4 linked regions of the Coturnix japonica genome follow. The protein of the gene in region 2 interacts with the protein of the main gene of each other region in a pairwise test. Links are inferred from orthologs where the notes say so. Each region holds a gene or a part of one and is shown on either strand. Other genes may lie near its edges.

Evidence for each region. The genes of interacting proteins can lie anywhere in the genome.
Region 1: the proteins of UBE2K (region 2) and RNF32 interact in binary tests that used the Homo sapiens proteins (3 or more experiments, as listed by UniProt). The link is inferred for Coturnix japonica from reciprocal best matches to the Homo sapiens genes UBE2K and RNF32.
Region 3: the proteins of UBE2K (region 2) and TRIM2 interact in binary tests that used the Homo sapiens proteins (3 or more experiments, as listed by UniProt). The link is inferred for Coturnix japonica from reciprocal best matches to the Homo sapiens genes UBE2K and TRIM2.
Region 4: the proteins of UBE2K (region 2) and MIPOL1 interact in binary tests that used the Homo sapiens proteins (3 or more experiments, as listed by UniProt). The two-hybrid records come from large-scale screens. The link is inferred for Coturnix japonica from reciprocal best matches to the Homo sapiens genes UBE2K and MIPOL1.

Annotation. Positions count from the first base shown.
Region 1 is NC_029517.1:7,502,534-7,506,052, forward strand, and holds part of RNF32 (RING finger protein 32), read left to right. Parts: intron 1-1,837; coding exon 1,838-1,980; intron 1,981-3,495; coding exon 3,496-3,519. UniProt on the Homo sapiens protein: May play a role in sperm formation.
Region 2 is NC_029519.1:62,470,471-62,473,989, forward strand, and holds part of UBE2K (ubiquitin-conjugating enzyme E2 K), read right to left. Parts: intron 1,967-3,519; coding exon 1,867-1,966; intron 1-1,866. UniProt on the Homo sapiens protein: Accepts ubiquitin from the E1 complex and catalyzes its covalent attachment to other proteins. In vitro, in the presence or in the absence of BRCA1-BARD1 E3 ubiquitin-protein ligase complex, catalyzes the synthesis of 'Lys-48'-linked polyubiquitin chains.
Region 3 is NC_029519.1:17,714,467-17,717,985, forward strand, and holds part of TRIM2 (tripartite motif-containing protein 2), read left to right. Parts: intron 1-85; coding exon 86-809; intron 810-3,519. UniProt on the Homo sapiens protein: UBE2D1-dependent E3 ubiquitin-protein ligase that mediates the ubiquitination of NEFL and of phosphorylated BCL2L11. Plays a neuroprotective function. May play a role in neuronal rapid ischemic tolerance.
Region 4 is NC_029520.1:33,578,263-33,581,781, forward strand, and holds part of MIPOL1 (mirror-image polydactyly gene 1 protein), read left to right. Parts: intron 1-1,019; coding exon 1,020-1,053; intron 1,054-1,312; coding exon 1,313-1,483; intron 1,484-3,519.

The sequences.
Region 1 (3,519 bases), on a different chromosome or scaffold from region 2:
CGTTTGAAGAGGAATTTGAAAGGGGAGAGGATTCCGGGGGCAAAGCCAGCAGAGAGCTACTGGGGTTAACGCAAATACAAATAACGAGTGATTCTGGAAGCTAAATGTGGTGAAAAAATGCAGACCAAGTGTGAGCATGTTCTCTGCAACTACAAGACAAAGTATTTTCTCCTTAAATCCCAGCACTGACTGAGAGATCCTACATGACTGTTTGTGCAACCGATTGCAAAGAATGTGCTGAAAGATTCTAAGAAGTCATTGCCTTTGTGTCTGTGTTTGCTCATTAGTATTTTCACCTGTAATCTCTCATTAATGTGTAATGCTTGTGTCAAACTTTCTCTTTTTAAGGACGCTGTGGTTTAAAACTTTAAGTTGTGAAGCAACTTTGAAAATGTAATTTAATGTGTTTTTTTCTTCTTGAGTTTGTAGGTAATCAAACAACCTCCGAGGGTTCGGTCATTAAATTTTTCTCAACGGGGGCTTGTGTCCTAAAAGCTAATTATAAGGGCTTAGAGGTTATTGTATGTAATTACTTCGCTAATGTTCATTTTAGGATAAATAACTCAGCTGTGTGTCAGTAAGCAGGTTGGGCTTCTGAGCAGTGCATAAGAATGAAAACTCTTGGATCTCCTGAGCTGTGATAAATGTAGGCTTTCGTTACTTACATTTCTTCCAAGTGCAGCTTCAAAAATATCTTCACAGAGCCTTTTACATCAATCACATATCACTTCTTCTGTGTCCTGCTGCCAGTTTTCCTTCATCAACTGTGTTGTGTAATAGCTTTCCCTCACAAATATCCCATCTGGTTTATATTATTTAGAAGTTAAGTTTTGCCTCCAATCTCTTCCTATTTGGCAGCATTAATCATCTTTTTGTGGAAGTTTTTAATAAGCTTTACTTACTTATTTATTTACTTATTTATTTCACTCCGGGCACATACAAAAGGCTTCCCCAATGCAGTCACACTGTCTTCCCCAGAACAGTTTCTGACCACAGTGACTGGAAGAAAATAAAGGGCATTTTTTATTCTGCGAGTATTTAACACTGTGACTGGTTTGCTGTGTATCCAGATTCTGTCATTGCAAAGACTATCTACACGTGTGTGTTGGACCATCCACACAAGATCCTCTATTCTTACTCATTCACTGATACTCTTCAATATTACTGTCAGGTGAAGCCTGATATATGTTTTTAGTAAAGGTAAGATATGAAACCAAATTTGTTTGGTGTCTTTGAAGAATGTTCTTTGCTATAAGGAAGCTTTATGCCAAGAATTTGGTTGGATCCACTGTGTGGTACAAGTGATAGAGTTGACCCTTTCCCATTTACAACCACAGCCCTCTACCTGGCACCATTGCTTTACATTCTAACTATTTAATATACCTTTTCTTTTCTGATTTTAGCAAATATTATGGATGCCCCATCATGGACTCGTATTTTAGATTATATACCTCAGGCATTCCTCCACTATTTTCATTCAGTCCACAGATGTTTCTTCTGCTCCTCAGTATGACATAGGTCTCATTTTACTGTACCACTTAGCATCATTTTTTTCACTACTGAGATACTGATGCTGACCTATATCCCATATGTGGGGGAAATACTGTATTTTCACAAATTCCTTCTTCGAGAAGACTGATTTATCATGGGCATTCAGCATGGTACCTCACAGTTATCATTTGAGACTGCCTAGCGAATAGGTAGCCAGTATTAGGAGGTATGTTGCCTGCCAGTGGTTTATGTGATGATAAATTTGTATGCAGCATCTGTATGCAGTATTTTTAAATAAATGAATGATGAACGTTATCTGGTGATTTGTTGTTCTAACTGTCTGCAGCTCAGAAATTAGGACTAGTTGAGCCCCCATCCCTGCCGCTGACTGCTGAAGAATGGGCGAAAATAAAGCAGAGATCCATTCAGCATGGAGACTCCATCCAGCCCTGCGCAATATGCAGGGAAGAGTTTGCACTTCAGCCTCAGGTACGTGTGTAACTTGTGGACTACACCATTGTGTGTAACTAAGATTTTCCAGAGTTACTCCTAAAAGTCACTATATGGAGGAAGAGAAGAAAGAACCAAGAGGTTCAACTTTAGAATGCCATTTAGTCGTTAGCAGCTGTGTAGAGCTGTGTTGGCCAACTCTGAACTACTTTGCAAGTGAGATGGTAGAGAAAGGTCGGTAGCGTTTGTTCACTGATGCAGTTATGACAGTAGTGGAAAAGGTAATCAGCAGTTTTGTTTGATTTTGCAACACAATTCTAGGCTATATTTTGCTCCATTTAAATTCCCATTAGGTACAAACTTTGGCCTTGTTAATCAAAATTGTAAATACGCGCTAATTAATCAATGTACATTATATTTTCTTTTCTTGCAAATTTCCTTACTTTGTAGTTTAATTCAGTAGTTATTTCCATTTTGAAAAGAAGTATTTCTTCAGATAACATTTTACCTTGGTGTCTTTATTCAACGCCACGCATGTAGCATGAGCACATCCATTGCACTTTATTACAGCCTCTCATGTATCATATTGAAAACGTGAAGTGACGAGTGACTGATTGGAAAGGAATGCTGCTCTCACAAACCTTAGATGGAAGGATTTTGCTTCCCTCTACATGAACATCATTAACTGTAGGTGTAGAGTTGTCCAAAGACAAGTGGGATGGATCTGGCAAAAGACCATTCTACCCTAGAAGTCTAAAGCTGGACAAGAGGGACCAAAAGACAGCAGTCATTAAGGTTACTTTAGATTTGACACAAAAAGGGAAATGCCCCTGGAATCCTTTTCTTTACTTGTCCTCAGAATTTCTTTTAGGTTTCCTCCCTCAAGGGAAAAAAGCCACTGTATCTAAAAGCTTTCCCTTCAGCTGGCAGCCAGCCATTAATCCTTTTGTGTTTGCCAGCTCAATAGTGCACACTACTTGTTCTGGTTTCCCCACTCCTTTCCCCATTTTCCCTTCCTCTAAGAGCCAACCACTGTTTTTGTCTCACTCTATCTTTTGTCAGGATGGAGATCATCAGCATTTGGTGGGAATGTAGGTCAGATAAAGGTGAAGTTTTCTTGTAGCCTGTGAACACACTTTCTCTTTTTCTTGTTTTTTTTTCATCTTATTTTGTATTTTGATGTAGTTTTATTTTAATGTATGAAATGCTGCATTTGATTTACATCACTTCTTGAATTTTTATGTGCTTATGGGAAAGCCGGGGGGGGGGGGGAGAAACATCTTATAACACTTATAATACTTTTATAACACCTTTGTTATAAGTATTGTCCATAATATGTCCATAACATTGTGCTGTAGTTGGCATCTCACACGTTCTGCCACTCCATGTATTGTTATCTCCAAATTCACACATTGGTTTAAGCTGTAACTGATTCAGTAATTCCTACAGAAGACTGAAGATAGTATTTTAACCAGAAAGAATGCACAAGTCACCCGAAGAAGATGACTTAGAATGGATTAAAGATAATTTTCTGTTTTTTACTTTGTAAAACAGGTGTTGCTTTCCTGTTCCCATGTA
Region 2 (3,519 bases):
ATAAATAAAACTCCTTTACTTAGGTACCTGTAAATAATCTGGCTTCTCACTGAATTGAGAAGCACACAAGCACCTCTTACTGATGTCTCTGTATTGCAAATCACAGTCAATTATGCTGCTGTACTTAAAAACCAGCTGCAACCAGTCAAGCATGATGAAGTGGTTTTGGCACTGGACATTGAAGATGGCAGGTACCTGAAAGCACTGCCATTACCTGAGCAGGAGTAGAACGTCACGTTCTCCCTGGGATTCAGCTGAAGCACATGTAGGAAATACTGCCTTGTACCTCATCTAACAAATAATTACATACATTAGCAAAGTAAAACAAAAAATGAGCATGTAGGATAAATAATTCCTTATTAGATTTTCTTTTCGAGAAGATTTTGGGGGATGGTAGAAGGGAACAACAGGACGGGACTAGACAGGTGACCTGGAAAAAAGACCATGTGTGGAAGAACTGGATGTTTACCTTTACCTCTCTAAGGGATTATAACAACTTTCTACTTACATACGTGTGTGTAACTGAAGGCCGACCTGCTAGCAAAGCAAAATGGCTCTTCATGTAGATATCTGCAGGGGAGAAACTGAACCTTCCCCACACCAGCTGCACCAGGGTCCCACCAGACACCCCCTAAGGCACTTGAAAGGCCACCTGGAAAACTGCAACTCAGAGTTCAGGAAGTTTTATGAAGTTTTCTATCTGGTTTCCAGCTGAAGGGTTTCTATGAGATCATTAGAATTCTGTGCGGAAATCCTACTTTCAGCAGCCTGAATAGGAAGCTCAATTTTTGTTCTATGTGAAAGAGGAAAACGTAAAGCAGCTTTTCCACCAAAAGACTGAATGGGTCTCCTATGTTCTCCACATTTCCCTTTAAAAGCAGACAGCTGTGATAAACTGATTAACTGTCATCCTACACAGACTAGACTTTAGGAGAAAGGAGTACACACTTCTTACCCTTTCCTGGAGTGTGCTGACTTACAGGAGATAGAGATGAGATCGATGCTGGAAGAACTTTTTACTTGCTTGAGTTTTTTTTTTGTTACTGAAATATATCCTTATATATTGATATATATAAGGTCAACTGCAAAGCAAAGCCTTCTCTCTCTCTCTTTTCCCCCAAAGAAAAAAGGAAAATCACATGCATCCTTGGGATTTTGCTGACAACTGTCAAACGATTAAAGTCATGGAAAGATTGTTCCCATCTTCAATCAATATTTTAAATACCACCAGCTATTATTTCTTTATAAATTGTTGCTACTGTCTGAAGAATAACAAACCTTGCTGATTACATGAGAATTCCATTAATACATACTCAACTAGACTAAAATAGTTAACCCAAGTACCTGCACAGGTAAAATACAGAATGCTCCATGTAGATTTTTAAACGTGTCTTGTTGAGTAGCGACCTGCAGCATCTAATGCTAAGATTTTTGTATTTAACAAACCAACACCAATTCACACTAATCCAGAAGAGGAGCTACAAGCCAATTCAAATCCAACAAACACCAGGTTATAACTTGTTTTAGTGTAACTTGTTTTATATAAGCCAATGTTTATATAAATCTCAGATTTTAAAAGGAAAGTTATATTGGGATCCATTCTACTATGCGTTATCTCCTGACATTTCTTACAAGCTAAATAAGGAAGATTAAAAAAAAACCACATCTTTTCACACTGCAGAGTAGCTGCTATTTACTTTGAAATCTATAGAGTAAAGCACAAAATACTGTAGTAACTTGCACCTACTGTAAAGCAGTTTCCAAATAGATGATTGAAAGATCTTTATTGTCTCCAAGGTTCTGAACTCAGTTCAAGTTAATGAAGGTTAGAGAAATGTCAGCAATTCGGTCAGCTGAGCCCCTTACCTGGTTTGCCACTACTGCGTCTTGTGGATCGTCTGGTTCTGCAGCTGCCAACAATGCTTGCAGAGATAACAACACTGTTCTTAGAGTCATTGCTGCTGCCCTGAAATGACAATTTGAAAGTGACTTTGCCAAACCTATAGACATCTCTGCCACAACTGTCATAAAACAGAAGATATGAGAATATATAGAGATCTTTTAAACCTTGATGTTAGCATCTTCAGCTGGTACAGTGTAGAGGTATTAAAATACAGTTTAACTGAAGTGAGCTTTCAAAAAGGGACTTGGTCATTAACAATGCTTTCAGTGTCTGGAAAAGAACCCCTGACCTACACAACTGATCTTACCCACATAGCAGAATTCATTTCACTTGCTCAAAAAAAAAAAAAAAAGTTAGCCTGAAGTTTGTGTTGTCCTTCCTTACTACCCGTAACAGCACCTTGCTCAAACTCTGGGTATCGAACTGTCAGCCAATGTGTGCTCCCTCTGCTGGCACTCCTCATAGCAAAATAGCATAAACAGAAACAGTGACCTGTATTTAAAATTCTTACACCAGAGAAGGAATTTTACACATTTGACTTTTTTTCCATCGCATCACTTAACTTCTTTGGGGGAAAAATGTAATGTAAACAACTTACACAGTGAATCACTACCACAACAAGAAAAGGTCAGACAGTTACAGAAGCGACCAACTGAAGGTAGTCCCTCAACTTCCTCTCATTTCAATGCGATACCACTGACAGTTCTGACCAGCCATCCTGGTTTTAGCTGGGATAGAATTCCAGACAGCGTAAGAAAACATTTCTATAGAAACGATGGTGCTCTAAAGGCAGTTGGCCACCTCTCTGAAAGAAGTCTGTTGAGGACAATATGGCTCTGGAGTCTACACCATTCATCTCCTGAGAGTTCATCATTTACCTTCATCTCAACATCTATCGAGAATAAGAGACTTCGGCCACTTTTAATAAAAGGGAAAACCAGGCACACATTTAACGTCAATCACCACTCAGGAAAGAGGTATGAAATCGTTATTTGCACACTTATCTGTAAATCTGTAACAATTCAAATGTTGTTTCAATACATGTTGACCATGAGCACCATCTCTGATCTACCATTTCAGCTGGCACACAATGGCAACCACATCAGGACCCGCTGTGCTGAGCAGTTCAGCAGACTCAGTTGTGCTGCCAGCACTGACAGACCCTCAAGGTAATGCACACGGCTATTTAACCTTTCACTAGTACTGAGGCAGCGGAAGTGGGAAAATGCAACACCTTAAATTCAAGTTAGACAGTCACAGTACATGAAATGCTAAAGGAACGTTGTGAAACAAGCATAATCAGCACAAGCGTCAATGAACAGAAAGTAGTTTCTCCTTTTCAGAAGGCTGGAAGTAAATGCAGTGAGTTTGTTAGAAGGGGTAGGGAGGAGTTTCATCAGTCGGTCCAGACAGAATTGCTGTCTGTTTCGTTTCGTATTTCCAGCCTCAGATTTCAGAAGTGTGGCTATTCTCCAGTACTGACACACCATCGTGAGGTACGGCACAGTGCACCAATGCTGGTAGGGTGTCAGAGGTACAGCTGTGACACCTGAGCATTATATTCCCAGCTGTATGCATGAATGGTTTTCCTCCTATGTTGCTAACCACTCAAATTA
Region 3 (3,519 bases), about 45 Mb from region 2:
GGGCCTTAAGGTGTGAAACATGCTAAATGTTGCTAGCATAAATTCTGCCATTTGATGTTGATGTGGTGTTTGGCAATGTGTACAGGTTCTCCAGACCCAGTTGGATACCTTACTTGAAGGACAAGAGAGCATTAAAAGTTGCAGCAACTTTACAGCCCAAGCCCTCAACCATGGCACCGAAACTGAAGTGCTGCTGGTGAAGAAGCAGATGAGTGACAAGCTGAATGAACTGGCTGAGCGAGATTTCCCCTTGCAGCCCCGTGAAAATGATCAGCTGGACTTCATAGTGGAAACAGAAGGCCTGAAAAAGTCCATTCACAATTTGGGCACTATTTTAACCACCAATGCTGTTGCCTCTGAAACAGTTGCCACAGGTGAGGGACTGCGGCAGACTGTGATTGGACAGCCCATGTCTGTTACCATCACCACCAAGGACAAAGATGGGGAGCTCTGTAAGTCGGGGAATGCTTACCTCACTGCTGAGCTCAGCACGCCCGATGGAAGTGTAGCAGATGGAGAAATACTTGACAATAAAAACGGCACTTACGAATTTTTGTATACTGTTCAGAAAGAAGGGGATTTCACTTTGTCATTGAGACTTTATGATCAACACATCAAAGGCAGCCCATTTAAACTGAAAGTGGTCAGATCAGCAGACGTATCCCCTACCACTGAGGGGGTTAAGAGACGTGTTAAATCTCCTGGCAGTGGTCACGTAAAGCAGAAAGCTGTGAAAAGACCTGCAAGCATGTACAGCACTGGAAAAAGAAAAGAGAATCCAATTGAAGATGATTTGATCTTCAGAGTAGGTAGGTGACTTCTCCGCTAACTACTGCCATAAGCAAATGCAATTCAAGGAAACTGGATGAAAATTTCCCAAGTTAAATTATTTTAACATTAAAGCTCTAAGTAGAGCAACCTGATAATACCTTTAGTCCTCTTAATTATTTCACATATGCATTTTAAAAGCACATGTTTCAGGAATTCTATCGGCAAATATTTAGTTAGATTTTGGGGTTGAGAAATGCATCCATCTGATTTATCATGAAATATTTTACGTGGCAATATTACAAGATCAATGCTGCAGATTTATATTGAACTACTTCTTTAAAAAATTGCATGGCAAGAGACAAAGTAGAAGGATTTCCTCTCTAAAATGATTAACATAGAGGTTAATCTAATTAATTAACCAGGATCTACACATGTTAAAACCTATGATCAAACATAGTTATTTCTTGATATCAACATAGGACAAAATTATTATTTCCTTTATTTGTTGTTTGTTTCTTTAAATGTGTTTTGTACTTTTTCCTACTATCTAAACGTGTTTCATCCTTCATATAATGTAGTAGTATCTCAAAGTTTGTGGGTTTCTAAGGGTTATAAAAATATAGATGTCGTTTATTCTGATTTTCTTTCAGCTCTTTTGGGGCAATCTCTTTTTAAGCTATCTAAGAATTCATAATCTATATGTTATATAAATACCTAACTTATGTAGTTAAAAGCAGCAACAACAACTTTTCATGTTGTACAGCTAAAGAAAAAAAAAAATGAAGTTGACTTTTGATATATACAAGTCTGTATATCATATTTGAGCACTTATCAGAAAAGTAGTTTCTCTCTTGTAGCAGAGAATGAATGGTGGGTTTTCCTTGAGGGTTTTTCAGTAATTCTGTTGAAAACTCATTGGGATACCATGTGTCAGTTGCCCTTTCTGTCAGACTTCTTGTCTGATAGGATTTCTTTAGGAATCTTTACTATAATAGACAATGTATGCAATAACAGTGGCTTTATATCAGAAAATGCATTCAGTACACATGGTTTGCTTGCTTGTAAGACATTATAATGCAAGCTTTGCATATAGCTGCTCATTAAATGTCCAGCCTTTCCCAGATGGATAGTGCATTTCCTTGTAAGATAAACAACTCCTAAATATAACATCTCAAAGCATTTGCTACAGAGTCAATAACATACTGTTTTACTGTCAATAAGGCTGCATTTTCTGATCATTCCTGGGACAAAAGTTAGAAATAAGATGTAGAATAATTCACACTGAAGTTGAGCTGAGCCTTCTCAACAATAACTGCTTTTTGTTGTCCAAAGCTGGTAGGTGCCTTTTGTTAAATTAATACCCAAACATTGCTTTGCCTCTAGCAGGAGGGTGTTCTGGTTGCAAAAGGTATTGCTGAGTTGTTAAAGAAAAAAAATCCCTTGCACAGAGGCAGAGTAATTAGTTCTGGACTTCTGCAGGAATGGAAAGGGATCTGTGGCTTTTCCCAAATATGATTTCACTGCTAGTGCTGGTTAAGAGCAACAGAGAGTATGTACAGATATTTCCTAGATTTTTCTGGGCACCTTGTTTTGAGACAAGGTTAAACAAGAGCTCAGGATGATGCCTGAGCCCTGCCTGAAGGAAAATGTTTCTTTGATCTCTTCTGGAAGTGGTTGTGCCACATCATATGCTAAGAAGAGCATATGCTAGGTTGGATGAGCAGATTTGAAGTCCTGTCATAATTTTAAGACTGTTAGCATTCTTATTATAAAGCTTTTAGTATGGCCTGACATGATTTCAGGTTCTAATTTCTGCTTCTGTATCCCTTGCTTCTAGTGAGTAGCTTCCAACCTAACTGCCAAATAGTGCTATAGCTCTAGTTGTTCCTGCTGTTTCAGTGATTCTCTCTACTACACCATGAACTCTAATACGGCCTTGAATATTTTCTGAAAAGTGTAGTGCCTTTTCATTGTAGTGCAATCACGACTGTGTGCTTTATTTTGGAGCTTTTTCTCCTTCCTTTTCCCTGTCTTCCTCACTGTGTCTTCCCATCATTCAAAGGAAAAAGAGCTACAGCTGTAGCTTTTGCTTGAGGAAAGCCCTCAGGAGTTTCCACATTTAAGATGTTACTGAAAAACTGAACTGGGAATAATGCTTAATCTCATTCCACATTTTGTTCTTGGCTACTCATTTCACAGAATGATCCTATATAGAGATGTCCTGGTGGGATTATGTATGCATCATCATCTAAGAAGTCTCTAAGCAGTTGCAGCTGTAATGCTCTAGCTTCTTCACACTCTTCCAAAATATATGTAATTAATAAGTTAAAACTTCTGACATTTATGCAGAGGTTGCCTTCAGGAATCTAAGATTTTGTTTAGCTCCAGTTTTTAATCACTCAAGAAATTTGAGGTTTGGTCCATCTGTTGATGAAGTCATGCAAAATGCTCTTTTCCAGCACAACTGTGTATCTGTTTGGATCCCACTGTTGAATTCCTCTGATAGCCCTGGCCAAATGTGGATTTTTGTTTAAAACTATGCAAGATAAAGCTTGCACTTGGGCCACCGGAGATACATATGGCTGTGCTGGAGAATTATACTGTAATATTCCTATGGCACGCGAGTATATGGAGCATGCTATTGTATTCCATTGAAATATGGGCTTTTATGCAGATGTAAATCAATCAGCTCCCAGCAGAAGATCATTCTTGTGTGAATATTAAGAAATAGTGTTAACACAGTATTAG
Region 4 (3,519 bases), on a different chromosome or scaffold from region 2:
CCAAAAGTAGGAACTCTAAGAGAAGCTAACTCAAGGAGTCAGTTCTGATTTTATGATTTATGTTACTTTATGAATATATCTATAACATAGCAAAGTTTAGCTTTTACTTTTGTTTTGTTTTCTTCTGATGCAGACTTTAGGTGTTGGAGTAATTACTGCCTTCAAACTCCTTATAAAAGTACTAGCTGCTGTACACAGTAGTATATTTTGAACTGTTTCTTTTCTATTTAAGTAATTAATTTTTGTATGGTTGGTTTACTGTGCATTGCATACATGTTGCCCATATAATTAAGCTTAAGTAAAATACGTAGTATCCCATTTATTAGATCTTTGCACTATCACTCACTGCTTTTGCACAGTAAGTGTTCTGTGTATAACTGAATTCTTCCTATCATTTTTATATTTGACAGATTAAATGTGGGAAAGCAGAGGCATCTTATTACGTGCTTAAATAAGTAGCTTGCAGCGGGTTGTCCTAACATGATATCTTGTGCTAGATACAAAAGCAAAACATTTTCAGGGAAACTTCAACTAGTCCATTTCCTCCTTTTGGAAGAGAGGTGGGAAAATAATTACATAAAAATGAAAAAGAAAAACAAAGCACAAAACAAACAATCTTTACAAAAGTCTTGTCCTGTTACATTTATGGTGCACTAAAAACAACAAAAATACAATGTTGGGTAAAAGTTGTAAGTCCAGGAATAAATAAAATAAGAGCATCAGTCATTTCTATCACTGGGGAACTTTCTTCATCTAAGCACATATGAACAATTGATCCTTGTAGTCATATATAGCAGTAAACATTAATAACTTAACAGTCTGTAGTCAGTGCTGAAGATATGGAGCATTATTGAAAGATGGAGTCGAGCAGGTGGCACTTTAATATGTTCAGTGTCATGGTTGACTCTAAAGACTAGTAGAATGAAATTACTTGAGGTTCTAAAGATTTAAAAAGCGAACTCATTTTGCTGCACTAAGGAAATGCTACTGATCAGGCTTTCTGTGTCCCTTTTTTCTAGGCTAGAAAATATTAACCCTGAAGAAAATGACATGGTAAGCCATTCTCTGAGGAGATTTCTTGATGTCAGTCTTATATCTTAGAGGCTTAAGTTCAATTGAGTGGGTTTCAAGAACTAAGATGTGGGAAAAAGAAGAATTGACACACTAATAATGTACATCTTTGCTGCAGTATGAAAATTCAATAACTTCACTCAGTCAATTTACAATTCACATGTGCCTATTAATTAAAACCCTATATTAAATAAAATATATTAAAACTTCATGTCTGACTAACATATAATGCTGTTGGTAGACATTACAGGAATTACTGAACAGAATAAACAATGCAGACACAGGGATAGATATACTGAAGAATGGAGCTATTATTCTGAATCGAATACACAGGACCAAAGAACGTAAAAAGAAAATAATAGCTGAGGAAATGAATGCAGTGATAGAGCAACGTGATGCTGCTTTGTCTCAAGTAAGTCTCTACAAGTATGTAATCACTCAATGCCAATATATTTATTTATTTTTTATTCTACTTTTGGGGAATAAATTTACTTTGTTAACTTTCTTCTGCAGAAAATCTCAATATATTAAGATCAATATTATAGTATTATAATAAATGGCTGACTAACAAGCAACAGTTTCTTCAAGGCAGTAGTGGTCTCCAATCTATTTCACAGGAAGTATTGTGTATTCTTTCTACCTGGTCACTAGCTGACTCTTTAAAATGAAATAAATATAGTATTCGTTATACTAAGTAATCTAAAACAGTTTTAAGATCTTAACTTTCCAGTATTCTTTAGCTGTATAAAGCAGTTTGTGACTGGGACTCATGGATTTGTAAAGATTTATAAGTGATAGAAATGCACAGTGAGGGAAGATAAGACTGCCACATGTGACAAAGCAAGCAATTCTTTCCTTTATTGCTTTACATTCAGGAACTGAAAATCTGCATGTGGTCATTGACTCTTTAACATTTCTGCTAAGTAACTTAAAACAATCTGATGTTTTCTATTCTGCTCAGATCAATCATTCTCTCTGCTTTTCCTATCTTTACAGAAGAATATTCTTTCTCTTCACCCTGGAGAGTGTCTCCTTATTTTTCCTATCTCAAAGAAGAGTTGTTATTTTGTTTTGTTTTTTTTCCAAAGCTTTCTTTCCCCCTCCCCCCCCCCCCCCCCCTTTTTTTTTTTAAGCTAGATTTGACTCAATTGGACCAGTCTGTAGAAAGAGGAATACTAAGTAGGGGGCTACATCTCACAAAATTATAGGTTTGATGAACATCCTTACACTTTCAGGCAAGGCAAGAAATTTCATCTATGTCTTGTTCCAGTATTGAAAATTTCAATGTCTGCTGAATGTGAGCCTATATCTAAATAATTCTTTAATTTTAACAGAATTAGATTTAAGGTCAAATTGGTGATCTTGTCTAGTATTAATGATGATTGCATTTATTTTGTATTGATGTGTATTTCTGTAAAAGATATTCTTCCACTCAGTCTGTAATTCTCATTGTTTTTTGTTGATGTTGTTTTTGCAATCATTGTCTTTGCATTCTATCCTGCTGCAGCCCTGAAAGATTCATTTCTTGGTGCCTAACAAATTTTGTGTTTGTATCCTATGTGCATTACAAAGGATGTTAATGTTGGAAGTTCAGTTTTTCGCTGTGTTTTTGTTTGCTTTTATAGTAATGAGGAGCAGTGTAGCTACTAGGGCACATACAACTGTTCTGCCAAAAAAATTTATGCTCTTTGGTTTTTGAGTTATGATTGGATTTCTTCTTTGCACAGGGCATTTGGAAAGTGGGCAGCTTATAGGAAAAAAGCTTTTACTACAAGAGAAGGATCTTTAGATAGTTTTGTTTTTCTTCTACGAGATTCTGCTTTTTTGGTGAAGTAAACTTTCAGACACACTTGGACTTTAAATATTTTATGAAGGATATCAGAATAATGTCATTGTAGGGTGTTATAATATACATTTTAATTAAGTTGATTTTTAAGCAACCTGTTCAAGGAATAATATACAGACATTTATACAAGTCTTTCTTTTAAGAACTTGTAAATTAATAAAGATCATTATTCTATATAATAATGGGTTAATTGCCATAGTTAGCAAAGCTGTCTTTTAGGCCTGATAGCAAAAAGCACAGATAACGTTACATAGGTAGTGCAGCTGATAAAATAAGTAAATGAATAAAGCAAAACACTCCCTAAAATTTTCAGTATTTGGTATTAAGCTGTAATCCTGTGATAGTGTTTGCAGTTTATAAAACCATTTCTTAAAATTAGTTATTGTTAATAAAACTTGATTACTCATGTGTTGTGCTATGTGCATATGTGATACTTTTATGACTGTAGCTATCAAACCTAGAAAATAGCTCCTATCATTTCAACTTGCATCTCTTACTTGATGATTCCTTGGGAATTCATACAGTACTTGAATTATTAGTAGTCTTTTGTTAACATTGCAATAGCAGTAGTTATTACAGTGCTAACAGCAAGAACAATAGGA